3 linked regions of the Oryzias latipes genome follow. The protein of the gene in region 3 interacts with the protein of the main gene of each other region in a pairwise test. Links are inferred from orthologs where the notes say so. Each region holds a gene or a part of one and is shown on either strand. Other genes may lie near its edges.

Region 1 (3,651 bases), on a different chromosome or scaffold from region 3:
CAACAAACCAACCCCCACCACTTCTTTTTTCTGCATTCTGCAAACAACATCCGACTTGTTTCCCCCCCCTGACTGATTTGACCTTTGTGCTGTTAAGGGTCTCTCCCAAACCACCAAATGACTCTTAAATTGAAGCCGTTTTTAGTTCTTGTTAATTATACGCCTTTTATTTTTTGCTCCAACTAAATGGAGCAAAAAATATTGCTTTGTTTTATAGATGTAAAATGTGTAATTTTTTGTTGTAAAAAAAAAAAGATGCATATAGTTTGCATTTCCCAATCATCTCCTCTAGGGCTGCACGAAATGAGGAAAACTCGCGATATTAGTGATCAATATTGCGATGACGATATAACTTGCGATAAATGAACTACTAACAAAAACAATAAAAACATTTCAATTTCACTGCAAAAGTTTAATTTAATAAGAGTCAAAATTCCTTAAATTATTCTCCAAATGACCTTCGTCTAATTAGGAGGGCAACATCTAACATAAGAAGCTCCATCTGATTGGTCAACAACATAAAGGACTCCATCTGATTGGTCAACAACATAAAGGACTCCATCTGGTTGGTCAACAACATGAAGGACTCCATCTGATTGGTCAAATGGAGAAAGCGATTTATTCAAATCATTAAATAGTTCAAGTTGCCATAAAATTGTTTTAGCACATTTAAGGTTTACCATTTTTGCCGACTTTTGCGATATGATTATTGCACAGCTTGAAATCGCGCTAGCGATAAATTTGCGAGTAATTGTGCAGGCCTAATCTCCACCCATAGTTTGACGTCCATCTGCGATGCGAGCCTTCCCCGTCGGCATCTGAAGAATTGGTCTAAATCAAAGATGCGTCGACGCAAAACGGGAGTTATTTTGGTTCGATTCACGTGCTTTTGTTGGAAATGTCATTGTGCTGCAGCCAGGTTTGTGTCGTCAGGTGACAAATCTTAATTCCCAACCAACACACACTGTAGGCTGCGATGGAACAGCAGCTAATTTTATCACGGGACCCCGAAAGATGAAAAGCATTCAAAGTGACAGCTCCCCGTGCAGCCACGTCCCCCCCCACCACCACCTCCTCTGGATATCTTAACAACAGAAGTGAAGACGTGGTGTCATTTAGTCCTCTGGATCGCTTCATCTAACAGAAGGCAGTAAATCTGTCACTTTCTGCCCATTAAATATCAAATCAACACATGACAGCTGAGCAGAATTAGCCACTCGGTCAGACTTTGGTCTGTAACTGAGCTCATTCAGAACATCTTTTGGGTTGAGAACCAATCTTAGCCCCATCAAAATGACCCAAAAAAAAACAATTTGGGAGAACCAATAAGCCGACATCATAATTAACTATTGAAAATAAATAAAAGCAAGCTTTAAATAGGAGGAAAAAAAGCACATCGATACATTGCTTTAAAATGTCATAAAAATTCACGACTCTTCTTAATACAGGAAAAGATAATATCTTAACCCTTTTTAAAATCCATTGGACATATAGACATAGCCATTTATACACAAACAAAACATATTTTAGAGTTATTGTTTTATTCAATCTATAAAATGTACAGAAATTATATTATTTTATACTTCTATATATTGACTTAATATACTTCTAAAATTGTTCCACTTAAGTTTGCTTTTTTTCAATTCTGCTGTTGACAGTAAAAATATTTAAACTGTGTTTCAAAATCTTTGAAACATCCTTGATTGTTTTGTTTTAGAGATAAAATTTTAATCCTGAACTTTTCATGGTTTTTTGATCAAACCGGTGGCTCTGTGTTTGTTCAATGTCCGCCCCAAAACCTAAAGGTTGTGGGTTCAAATCCCCGATCGACGCACATCAAAGTCTCTGAAAATGAGACCCAAGGCCTCCCTGATTTATGCTTAGCTTGAACCCTTTAGCACCAAAACTTTAGCTCCAGTGTTCACATCTTTTATTTTTTATTTTTATCTTTTTAATATCCATAACTCTTCTATTGTTTGTGCAACTGACTTGATTCCAGTGGATTAGAAAGCGGAGAAAAGGAACTTTTTTCCACTGAAATGCAAGATTTTACGTTAGAGAGGTGTTTACGCATGAAGAGTTATGTCAAAGAGCGTGTTATTATGGTGTTGCTGGTTTTAAAAGATTAATAAGACAAAAAACTGATATTGATTGTTAAATAATAACAAAATTGTCTATACTTAGAATTCTGTTCATATGTTAAATCACACGTTACTTTTTCAAGAAACCGGGACTCTGTGTTCCCTCAGACTTCCTTTTTTAACATTTTGTTCTTGCTAACCAGTCTTTCCGATTGCAGGGCGTCCGTTTTGATCCAGAGATTCCCCAAACCTTGCGGCTGGAGTTCGCCAAGGCCAACACCAAAATGGCCAAAAACAAGCTGGTTGGCACTCCCAACCCCCCTCCATCTCAGCAAAGCCCCGGGCCGCAGTTCATTAGCAGGGATCCATGTGAGTACTCCCCATCGTTCACCCGCCCGTCCGTTAGCCCGGATAACTTCGTCTATCTGTCTGTGCTGTTGTTTCCTTTGGCTGAAAAAGGTCGGACAGCTGTTTCCTTTGTATGGCAGTTATTTTTTTCTCCCCTCATAATTAGGACTCTACATAAGTATGAAGAATACCGTTTCTTTGTAGCAAGAGTTATTGTTTTCTGTGATGGAAATGTTTCATTCCATGCAAACCCACTTATTTTCATGAGATATTAATCAAACATTTATACACTGTTTGCTTGAAACAACCCAAACGCTGTTCTTTGAAAAGACTAGTTTGTTTCAGTAATTATTAACTGGTCTTGTTCAATACAATAAGTTCTACTCAAAACCCTGGGGGGTTTGTGAGTTTTGTCATTGCAGCTTTGTCTTTTTTTAAGGCTAGTTAAACATTTTCTTAGAGTTAAAGATTGTTTTTTTTTTTTTTTGCAAGACTCAGCCACTGATAGTTAAACATAGACCAGCTGTGGTTATACATTCTTCCTGAATGACCAAAATGTTCTTATCTCAGATCTTTTCTCTGCCAGAGAAGGGGGTGGTACTTGGTGCCTCAGAGGGAAATGGAAGGAAGCGGTTAATGAAACCCTGACGTAATCACCAGGAGAGAAATTTCTGTCATTTCCTGTTAAGACATGTTTAAATCAGAATCTTTCTGTTGTTTTTTTGTTGTTTTTGTCTGATCATGCTTGGATAAACAGTCACCGGGAGACATGGAGAGCACAGGAAATCCTACTTAAAAATCTACCACTTATCTGATGTTTTCTCCAATGAGTTGCCTCCGTGTCGTGATTTTCTGCGTTCTGACGTGTGCACTTGTCTTGTACCACTCAGCACCTCCTTCTTTACTCGAGCACTTTTTGTTGTCACCATCACTTTGCACTTATCGAGTAAATCAACATGTCTGAGGTGGTTTCCTCTGAAACGTATGGCCTTATGCGTGCAAACTGTTGGGCAATATCACACAAGCGCATTTGATCCGCATCAGAACTGAAGTTCTACGATGTTTCGCAGGTATGGAAACTCTGGTGAAGTTCTTAAACAAGGGGTTCCAATTCAAGGATTCAAGGGAGTTTTTATTGCCATCGTCAGTGAACAAAACAAACTAGGAATTTGCTGCGGTGCCAGTGTGCCACATACAACACTTACGAATAAAAAAGAACAAC
Region 2 (3,651 bases), on a different chromosome or scaffold from region 3:
CTCAGTCGAAGCTGCACGTGGATGTGAGGCATGTTTGTAAAATTACACTAAAGTCCAGTTTGATCTGCATTTTGGAGAAGAAACCTTGAAGTTGGTTGATTTTGTACCTAATGGACAAGTAAAGCTGAGTCACAGCAACAGATACATTTATAGAGAATTAGCAGGAATGAAGTCATTCACCATCCATCCATCGTCATAAGCCACCTTTGGGGTCAACCCAACTACTGTTGGGCGAGACAGAGTACACCCTAAACAGGTCTGCCCAGGGCTCCAGACTAACTTTTTTCACTAGGAGCACAGTGGCCCCCAACTGAAAATTTTAGGGGCTCAACCAGAAAATTTAGGGGCGCATACCGTAAATCAACATTCTAACCAAATCTACTAATTTCCCCTGTATTACTAATAAATACTTTAATAATAGATGCAGAAATTACAATGTGCTGTTTCTAATTCAGTGTCACATTTTATTCTGCACTTTTGAAGATGCAACAAGAAGGTAAACTGACAGCACCATCGCTGTCATGACAGTACAAATAAGTAAAGAAAACGGATGGAAATTTATCTTTGTGACACCAAATAGGTGCAGCCAAGATGCACAATAAGCGTGTTTGAGATCACCCAGGTGAACTCAACGCTGCACAGAACCCCTGGTGTGTGACATATATTTTTGTTTTTGCTCCAACATCAACTGTCAATCATCACAAAAATATCGTGACAAAGGGGTGGGAGCAAGGGGCAAACCTACCCGGACACAGCTGGAAACTGAACTGACTGAAAGCTGCCCTACAGACTACAAAACAATGCATTATGGGACATGTGTCCTGATGGTTTTTGTAGTGGAGTGATTAATTAAAATAATTTAAAATACCAATTCATTAAAAAAGGCTACATACATCACAAAACATTAAAATAATCATAAAATATATAATAACACAGATCATACTAAGGGGGAGAAGAATATTGAAACTAAATTGAATGTTAAGGACAACTCCAATTTCCTGTTCTCCTTCAGTCTTGCTGCAGATTCGCCTTCATCTCACAGCCCCCCCCCGCCTGGTCTCCCCAACGATTCAGGCGAGCCGCCGGTTCATCTCAAACACGTCTGTCGTTGCATTTTCCCCACGTATTTTCAGTGAGTCTAAAACTAATGTTGTTTTTGCTCGAGTGTGTTTAAAGTTCAAGCCCCGTTAGCTGTCACGCATGTAGGTGTGGGACATTTATTCTCCTCAGCTGACCCGACTCCCGCGGGAGCGGTGTGCTGCCGTAACGGCCGTGCATAACCGTTTGATGCGCCGCCGTAACCAAAACCTAAACCTTCCTCCGGTTCTGTGTGACCCAGAGAAAAGTTCAGCACGGACTGCATGTATTTAGAAAATTACGAGCGAATAGATACGTTCTAAAGGAAAGTAAGGAACTCCTTAATGTGGTACGGGGAGGGAGCTGTCAGGTGTCCTGCTTTCAGGCCCTGTCATCGTCAAGCCCCCAAGAGTCATATACCCCACTGTGATTGGTTGGTCAGCTCCGCGCACGACAATGAAAAAGTGTCATTCATACAAACTGGCGGTCTGCAGTAACATTAAACCTTCATATTAAACATTAAACCTTCAAAATATCATCTTGGGGGCCGCAAATAGCCCGCGGGCCGCGAGTTTGAGACCCCTGCTGTACATTCTGGCACTGGTACACTAGCCGCAGGTCGGAAGAACGAATCAATAGTTCGCTTACCCATAGTTCAGACGCACATATCAGGTTGTGATATTTGTCTCAGTTTCCTTCCCACAGATGTTTACGCGCACTCGATTATCTCTAGGCCCCGCCCCCTCCACGCATTTTAGCCACTCACAGTGGCTTTCCCTATTCTTCTCACACGCAGTGGCCGCCTCACAGACAGGTATCACGCGAGAGTGTACGTGCTCGCGTTTCATGAGTATGTGCGCGAGTGTGTGTGTCTGCCTGCGTCCGTGTGGGCTTGCGTCTCATTGATTATTTCATTGATGATTGACGTGCCCCTTCCACATTTAATGTATAAAAAATACGAAGGGTGGGGGAGGCAAATTTACTGGTCGCGCATGTGCGACTGGATGTAAAATTCAGTCGCACACTCTCAAATTTTGGTCGCAAAATGCGACCAATTGCTCGCAGTCTGGAGCCCTGGGTCTGCCACTTACTCTCACATGTACACCTAAGGGCAATTTAGAGACAATTCATATATGAAGCTTTTTGGAACGTGGGAGGAAACCGAAGAAAACCCACCCATCAATGAAGAGAACATGCAAACTCCACACAGGATGGATCCAGACGGGATTTGAACCAGGGCCTTCGAACTGTGAGGCATGAATGCTAACAACTACCCCACTTTTTACTGATGATTTAAAAAAAAGGAATGTGGTGTTTAAGTGTTACTTAAGGTTAGCAGCCTAAAAGTAGTAGTCCCAGAGCAGAGCCCTGTGGTACACCAAAACTAAGAGGCTTGTGAGAATGACTTAAATCTCTACAAAGTTGTGGAGGTTAATTGTGTGATTGGTTCTTTGAGTCTCCATGAACCCGGAGTAAATGACTCACCACATGTCGATATGCATGGAGTACTCTGTGGATCCCAGCAACACATCGGGCGGCCGATACCACAGTGTGACCACCTCATTGGAGTACGTTTTTGTGGGGACAGATTTGGCTCGTGCCAGACCTAAACAGCACAGGATTGACAGTGAATAAATATGTAATATTTCACAAATGAACATTTCCTCAGTAATTTCTATGACTGTCTGGGTGTAGCTGCTCAAAAACCATCAACACCGCTGGTGTGTTTGGCTTCATACTTTCAGCATCAAACTGAGGAAGCTCGGGAGAGAGGGGCCTGGTTGCTATGATACGGGACATAAAGGCTGCCGAAGTGATCCGGGCAGAAGGAAGCCCCCAGCGTGTTAATAAAATGAAATGAAGCTGACAAACAGCGTGTTTTTAAACAGCACTGGTGGAAGGAAGCCCCATACTGCAAAGGGTTTTAGGTCTTCCTACCAAAGTCCGCCAACTTGAGCTCGCCCTTGTCGTTGATGAGCAGGTTCTGAGGCTTCAGGTCTCTGTGGAGAATTTTTCTTTTGTGACAGTAGGCCAGACCGCGTAGCAACTGGAACATGAAAATCTGCAGGGAACCCAAAAAAAAAAAGAAAAGGTAAGAGAATTCAGCGTCCATGTATCTATCTACACAGGGCGGGAAATTAATGTTTTACATTTTTAAAAATAGATTTAGTCCAGAGAAAGAAGTGGACACTTTTAAGACAAAACATCCAAAATGTTAGAAAATGTCATATTTTTCAGTTGGGCTTCTTTGCATTGTTGGTCGGGGGTGCGACTTATACTCAGGTACGACTTATATGTGATTTTTAAAAAATAAATAAGCTCCTTTGTTTGTTAATTCCCCACCAACAATCACTAGAGGGCACTGTAGGTGTTGGTATCAGTGTTTGTTGCTGACAGTAACGCAGAAGAAGAAGCACTGCTCAGACAGACAGGCGGTGTTCACACTAGGGTTGGGCGATGTCCCTTAAATTGGCCGTTGACGATGTTTGCTGTCAACCATCGGGATGGACGATGATATCGCTGAGGGGGGGGGAGGGGGGGGGGCTATTTTTAAATTAGTAATATTAGTATAAA
Region 3 (4,391 bases):
GAGCTGGTACAGGAGGAGAAAAAACAACAAGTTAGATGTTTCATGACCTCGAATGACCTCAGTTCTCCAACAATGAAAAGAGGAGCCCTCCTCGTTTGGATTAAGCCCTAATCAGATTGGTCTGGAACAGCCTGCATGTTTTGAAACAGACGAACTGATTACATAAGTCTGATTTATGAGCTTCAGTTCCTATCTAGCCAAACATGCAAACAATAAATCTGCCATCAGATCAGCAAACTGGAGTATAAACACTAATCCTGTTCGGTTCAACACAAACAGAAGTTCAGGAACAGCTGCTCACCTGGTGGTTGAACAGCCGGTAGTGGGGGCATGGGACTCTCCAGTCGGGGAATTTTTGATCCAGTTTGTTCTGCAAATTTAAAATTAAAAAAATTAATAAAAAAAAAAAAAAACGGAACAAATATTTAAAATATTCTCTCTTGCAGATTTTTTCTGCGAAAAAACGAAGAAATTGTTTCACCTGGAGCCTTTGGTTCATCTTTAGGGGATGTCTGAAAGAATTTACAAAAAAAAAAGCGAGTTTACCATCTGACAGCTCGTAATGATGTTAAACAGCTGCTGCGTAGACGACTCCTGCTTACGTGGGAGCGTTTGAGCTGCCGTGCGGGACTGCCCCCCTGCGGCGACGTCTTTTTTGGCGGTGGGGGAGGCGGGTTGGAAACTGGGAGCTGCCCCTGCGGCACCGGCGACGCAGTGGGTGTGACAGCCGCCGTCTTCTCCTTCTCTTGGACCTGCTGAGGGATGGGCTTGTTCCCTTGAGAATATAGGTCCAGGATCTGGTGGCAGATGTCTGAAGGGACCAAAGGAAGCTGTGACTGAAAGCCCCACGTTTTTGAGGAAAACAATAAAGTTTTTTTTTTTTTTAACCTTCAAGCAGCTCAACTGGGACGTCCTGCACAAACTGCTCCCACCAACGCCGCGACGATTGCTTGGAGGTCCACTCCTGGATGTCAAACTTACAAAGTCGGCCTGCTAGGTACATGACGGCCACGGCGATGATCTCCGGCTCCCACTGCAGGGACAGCATGGTGCACAGGCTGCCAGGGACGCAAATAAAGCAGTGAAGGCCTTATCTCAACTGTGTAGATCGATTTATTCTAACTCAAACACACATTTAGCAACAACTACAAGATTCTTAAAAGCTCAATGCGAGAATCAGCACCTCTTACCTGTCATTGACGAAGGTCCAGGCCATTTGGAGCACCTTGCATACTTTGTTCTTGTCTCCTGAAGCACCAAAACAAAACATGAGTCTTTCTGAGCTCCATTGGGGCAGCGGTTCTGCACGAACCCCGTCCCACCTTTCAGCTGTTTGACGTAACGCAGCAGGAACATGTAAGGGTGCTCCACCTGCAAGTCAAACTTGATGGTCTGGAGCAAAATCCTCTCCAGCACCATCACCTCCTCCTGTTTGAACAAGGTCAGACATGACTGTCCTGCACTTCAGACTCACAGAAATGTGTGGCATGAAAGATTCAAAAAAAAAAAACTGTTTATTAAAATAGAACTGCACCTTCGGATCATCTCCAAACTGGGCGAACTGGACATCGTTGAGTAAACTGCGAGCTGTTTTAATGATATCTTTACACTTCTTTGGCGTTTCCTCCACTTTCCCAGCCAAGAAAAGACAACAGGCACCCGTCACCTGTAGAAACACAAACCCAAAATCCCACATTAGCTTTTGTGTTAATGAAAAAAAAAAAAAAATACCAAAAGAGTAAATAAATCATGAACATACATATCTGGGAAACTGCTTGAAGGAGTGAAACATGTAGAAGCGATGGAAATATATGATGCCAGTTGCAAGAGTGTCATAATGTCTGCTGGCAGTTAAGAATCCATTTCAGAAGGACAGAAGCATAGAAACAGTAAATCCCTCACCATAGGAGTTTACTTCATGCACAATAGAAGCCTTAAAATCGCCCAATCATGATAAACAAGTGAGCTAAATGTACAGAGAATGCATTCAAATAGCTGCAAACTGAGACCCGTTGCTCAGATTACTGAACCCATCGAGGATACAGGCCGAGTCGAGTCCCCACGTCAAAAATGAAGCGGGCTCCTTCTCTCCTGTACCGGGCCTCGGTCCCGGGGTCAAGACCCTCGGACTGGGAAGGGGTGTGGGCTAAATCCTTCTTGTCCCAGTACCAGCACGGCTTGATGTGATCCAGGAAGGACTGGCCGCCCGAGAAGTCCTTGGACTCCTTCATTGACTGAGGGGAGGTGGTGGATGGACCTGCTGTGCTGCTGGACTGCTGAAAATAGCAATAAATGTCGATATTATGGACAACTTTGGTCAGTCAGATGTAGCTCTTTCATTCTGATTTAAATACAATTTTGTATTTAAATGGGCCTAAATTTATTTAGAGAGTCGTGTAAAAACGTCCAAAAAATAAAATAAAAGCCAGAGATTCACAAATTAATAAAAGCTTAGAAAATGATCACCAGTGTTCACCGCTTTCTCTTTAATGATGCAAGTATATTAATAAATAAACCTAAAAATTGGGATTTTTTTTTGAAGAAAAAAAACAAAAACTCATAATGGGGGGGGGGGGGGGGGATGTTCCCAAAACATGCCGGCCAGTAAAGCGATGAAACTGAATGAATGTACCCGCTAACGGCTAGCAAAGCCGCCGGAGCCGACAAGCTACGATAAATAAGTCAAATTTGGAGTCACCGGACTCCGGCGGAAGGACGCAGCACGTACCTTTATCATGTAGGCGACGACAGGATTAACCGGAGAGCACAAACGCGACACGAGACTTCAGTTATTCACCCAAAGTTAGCGACAGATTCGAACAGAACACCCGCTGGCACAACAGAATCGCCATTTTGAAGAACGTCAAGTGCGGCTGACGGACGTCATGACGTCACAAGCAACCGCGTGCGCTGCTTGAAGAGAAAACGTTACCGTGTACTACGTAGAACCTACTGGAGACGTTTTGTTCCCGACAGTATCTGGAAGAAAGGCTGGACTGTGACCCAAAAATTTATGATAAATAATAAAATGAAAGAAGTTTCTTATAAAATAATTCACAAAATTTACCGCACCAATCAATTTATGCTAAAATACATTAAAACAATTGACCCTAACTGTACTTCTTGCAAAGAATTTCCAGAAACAATTGACCATCTTTTTTGGAATTGTACTATAATTAGAATATTTTGGAAAAAATGTTTGCAATTTATTAGAAATCGCATTCACCCCAACTTTAATCTAAAGTTTGAACATATAATTTTTGGCCTTCATAATAAAAATTTGGAGTCAAACAAAAAAACTCATAGTTAATCTTGTTATTATTTTTGGCAAATTTTATATACATACATTTAAATTTTCTCCATCTTCTATTTTTCCCTATTTTAATCAAACAAATTGAAATGTATATCAGTAACATCTCCAAGAGTCTTAATCAGAAAGCAGTATGTCTATATGAAAGTTGCAGAAACCTGAATGTTTTTATGTAAAATGTATTTAGTATGTATGCTCCCCTGGCATATCTGAATTTTATTTAGTAAAATTGTGTTTTGTATCGTACTTACGTTTTGTACAATAAAGTTTAAAAAAAAAGAAGAGAAAACGTTATTTAAATGTATAGAATAGCAACTTACTGCTTTGACTGCTCTTGTTTATAATCTTTTTTCGTCCTTTATTCTTTATGTTCCCCTGGCACATTTTGTTATTCTTTTTTTATCTGTGTACTTAAAAACTGACTTGATTTTGTATCCTGTACATCTTCAATAAAGTTTTGAAAGAAAAAAAAGAAAAGAGGAAACGCTACAGTAACACACTGGTGGAAAAATGTGATTTTTAACATCATTGCAGAGTCCAACTTTATTACCAATTGACCCAACTAAAATACAAATAGGTCAAATCTGTTTTTCTTCTTCACGTAACACAAATCGCCGCATGTGCTCACTCTTTCAGAAGGATGTTGTGTCCATTCCCTATGTACTTTATTGGAATAATTGAGTTTACCAATCATGGAAAAAGATCTGGAATCTACCAGAAAAATATTTCTTAACCAATAAAGTGAAAGAAATCTCATTTAAACTAATCCATAAGTCTACCCAACCAAACTGTATCTCCAAAGGTTCAAAAAGGATGTTGATGTCACCTGCTCTTTTTGTCAAGAACACCCTGAAGATGCTGTACATTTATTTGATCATGTCCCTTTTCCACTAGTCTCTGGTCTAAAGATTGCAATTTCATATCCGCCCACATTGACACAGACTCTATTTAGAACATGTTATGTTTGGCCTCACCCACTGTCCATCTCATAAAAAGAACAATCATACAGCATTAATCTCTTATTGTTTTTTTATACAAATTGCACATTCATAAATCCAAAGTTACAAATCAAACCCCTTAT

The links.
Region 1: the proteins of ccnk (region 3) and RNA-binding protein with multiple splicing interact in binary tests that used the Homo sapiens proteins (3 or more experiments, as listed by UniProt). The two-hybrid records come from large-scale screens. The link is inferred for Oryzias latipes from reciprocal best matches to the Homo sapiens genes CCNK and RBPMS.
Region 2: the proteins of ccnk (region 3) and cdk18 interact in binary tests that used the Homo sapiens proteins (3 or more experiments, as listed by UniProt). The two-hybrid records come from large-scale screens. The link is inferred for Oryzias latipes from reciprocal best matches to the Homo sapiens genes CCNK and CDK18.

The regions. Positions count from the first base shown.
Region 1 is NC_019876.2:8,091,936-8,095,586, forward strand, and holds part of RNA-binding protein with multiple splicing, read left to right. Parts: intron 1-2,299; coding exon 2,300-2,450; intron 2,451-2,999; coding exon of another isoform or gene 3,000-3,082; exon of another isoform or gene 3,083-3,651.
Region 2 is NC_019863.2:24,047,228-24,050,878, reverse strand, and holds part of cdk18 (cyclin-dependent kinase 18), read right to left. Parts: intron 3,140-3,651; coding exon 3,016-3,139; intron 2,684-3,015; coding exon 2,563-2,683; intron 1-2,562. UniProt on the Homo sapiens protein: May play a role in signal transduction cascades in terminally differentiated cells.
Region 3 is NC_019882.2:3,583,464-3,587,854, reverse strand, and holds the start of ccnk (cyclin-K), read right to left. Parts: upstream 2,876-4,391; 5' UTR 2,738-2,875; coding exon 2,729-2,737; intron 2,277-2,728; coding exon 2,044-2,276; intron 1,842-2,043; coding exon 1,760-1,841; intron 1,667-1,759; coding exon 1,535-1,666; intron 1,429-1,534; coding exon 1,323-1,428; intron 1,249-1,322; coding exon 1,191-1,248; intron 1,059-1,190; coding exon 889-1,058; intron 812-888; coding exon 603-811; intron 513-602; coding exon 482-512; intron 371-481; coding exon 302-370; intron 4-301; coding exon 1-3. UniProt on the Homo sapiens protein: Regulatory subunit of cyclin-dependent kinases that mediates activation of target kinases.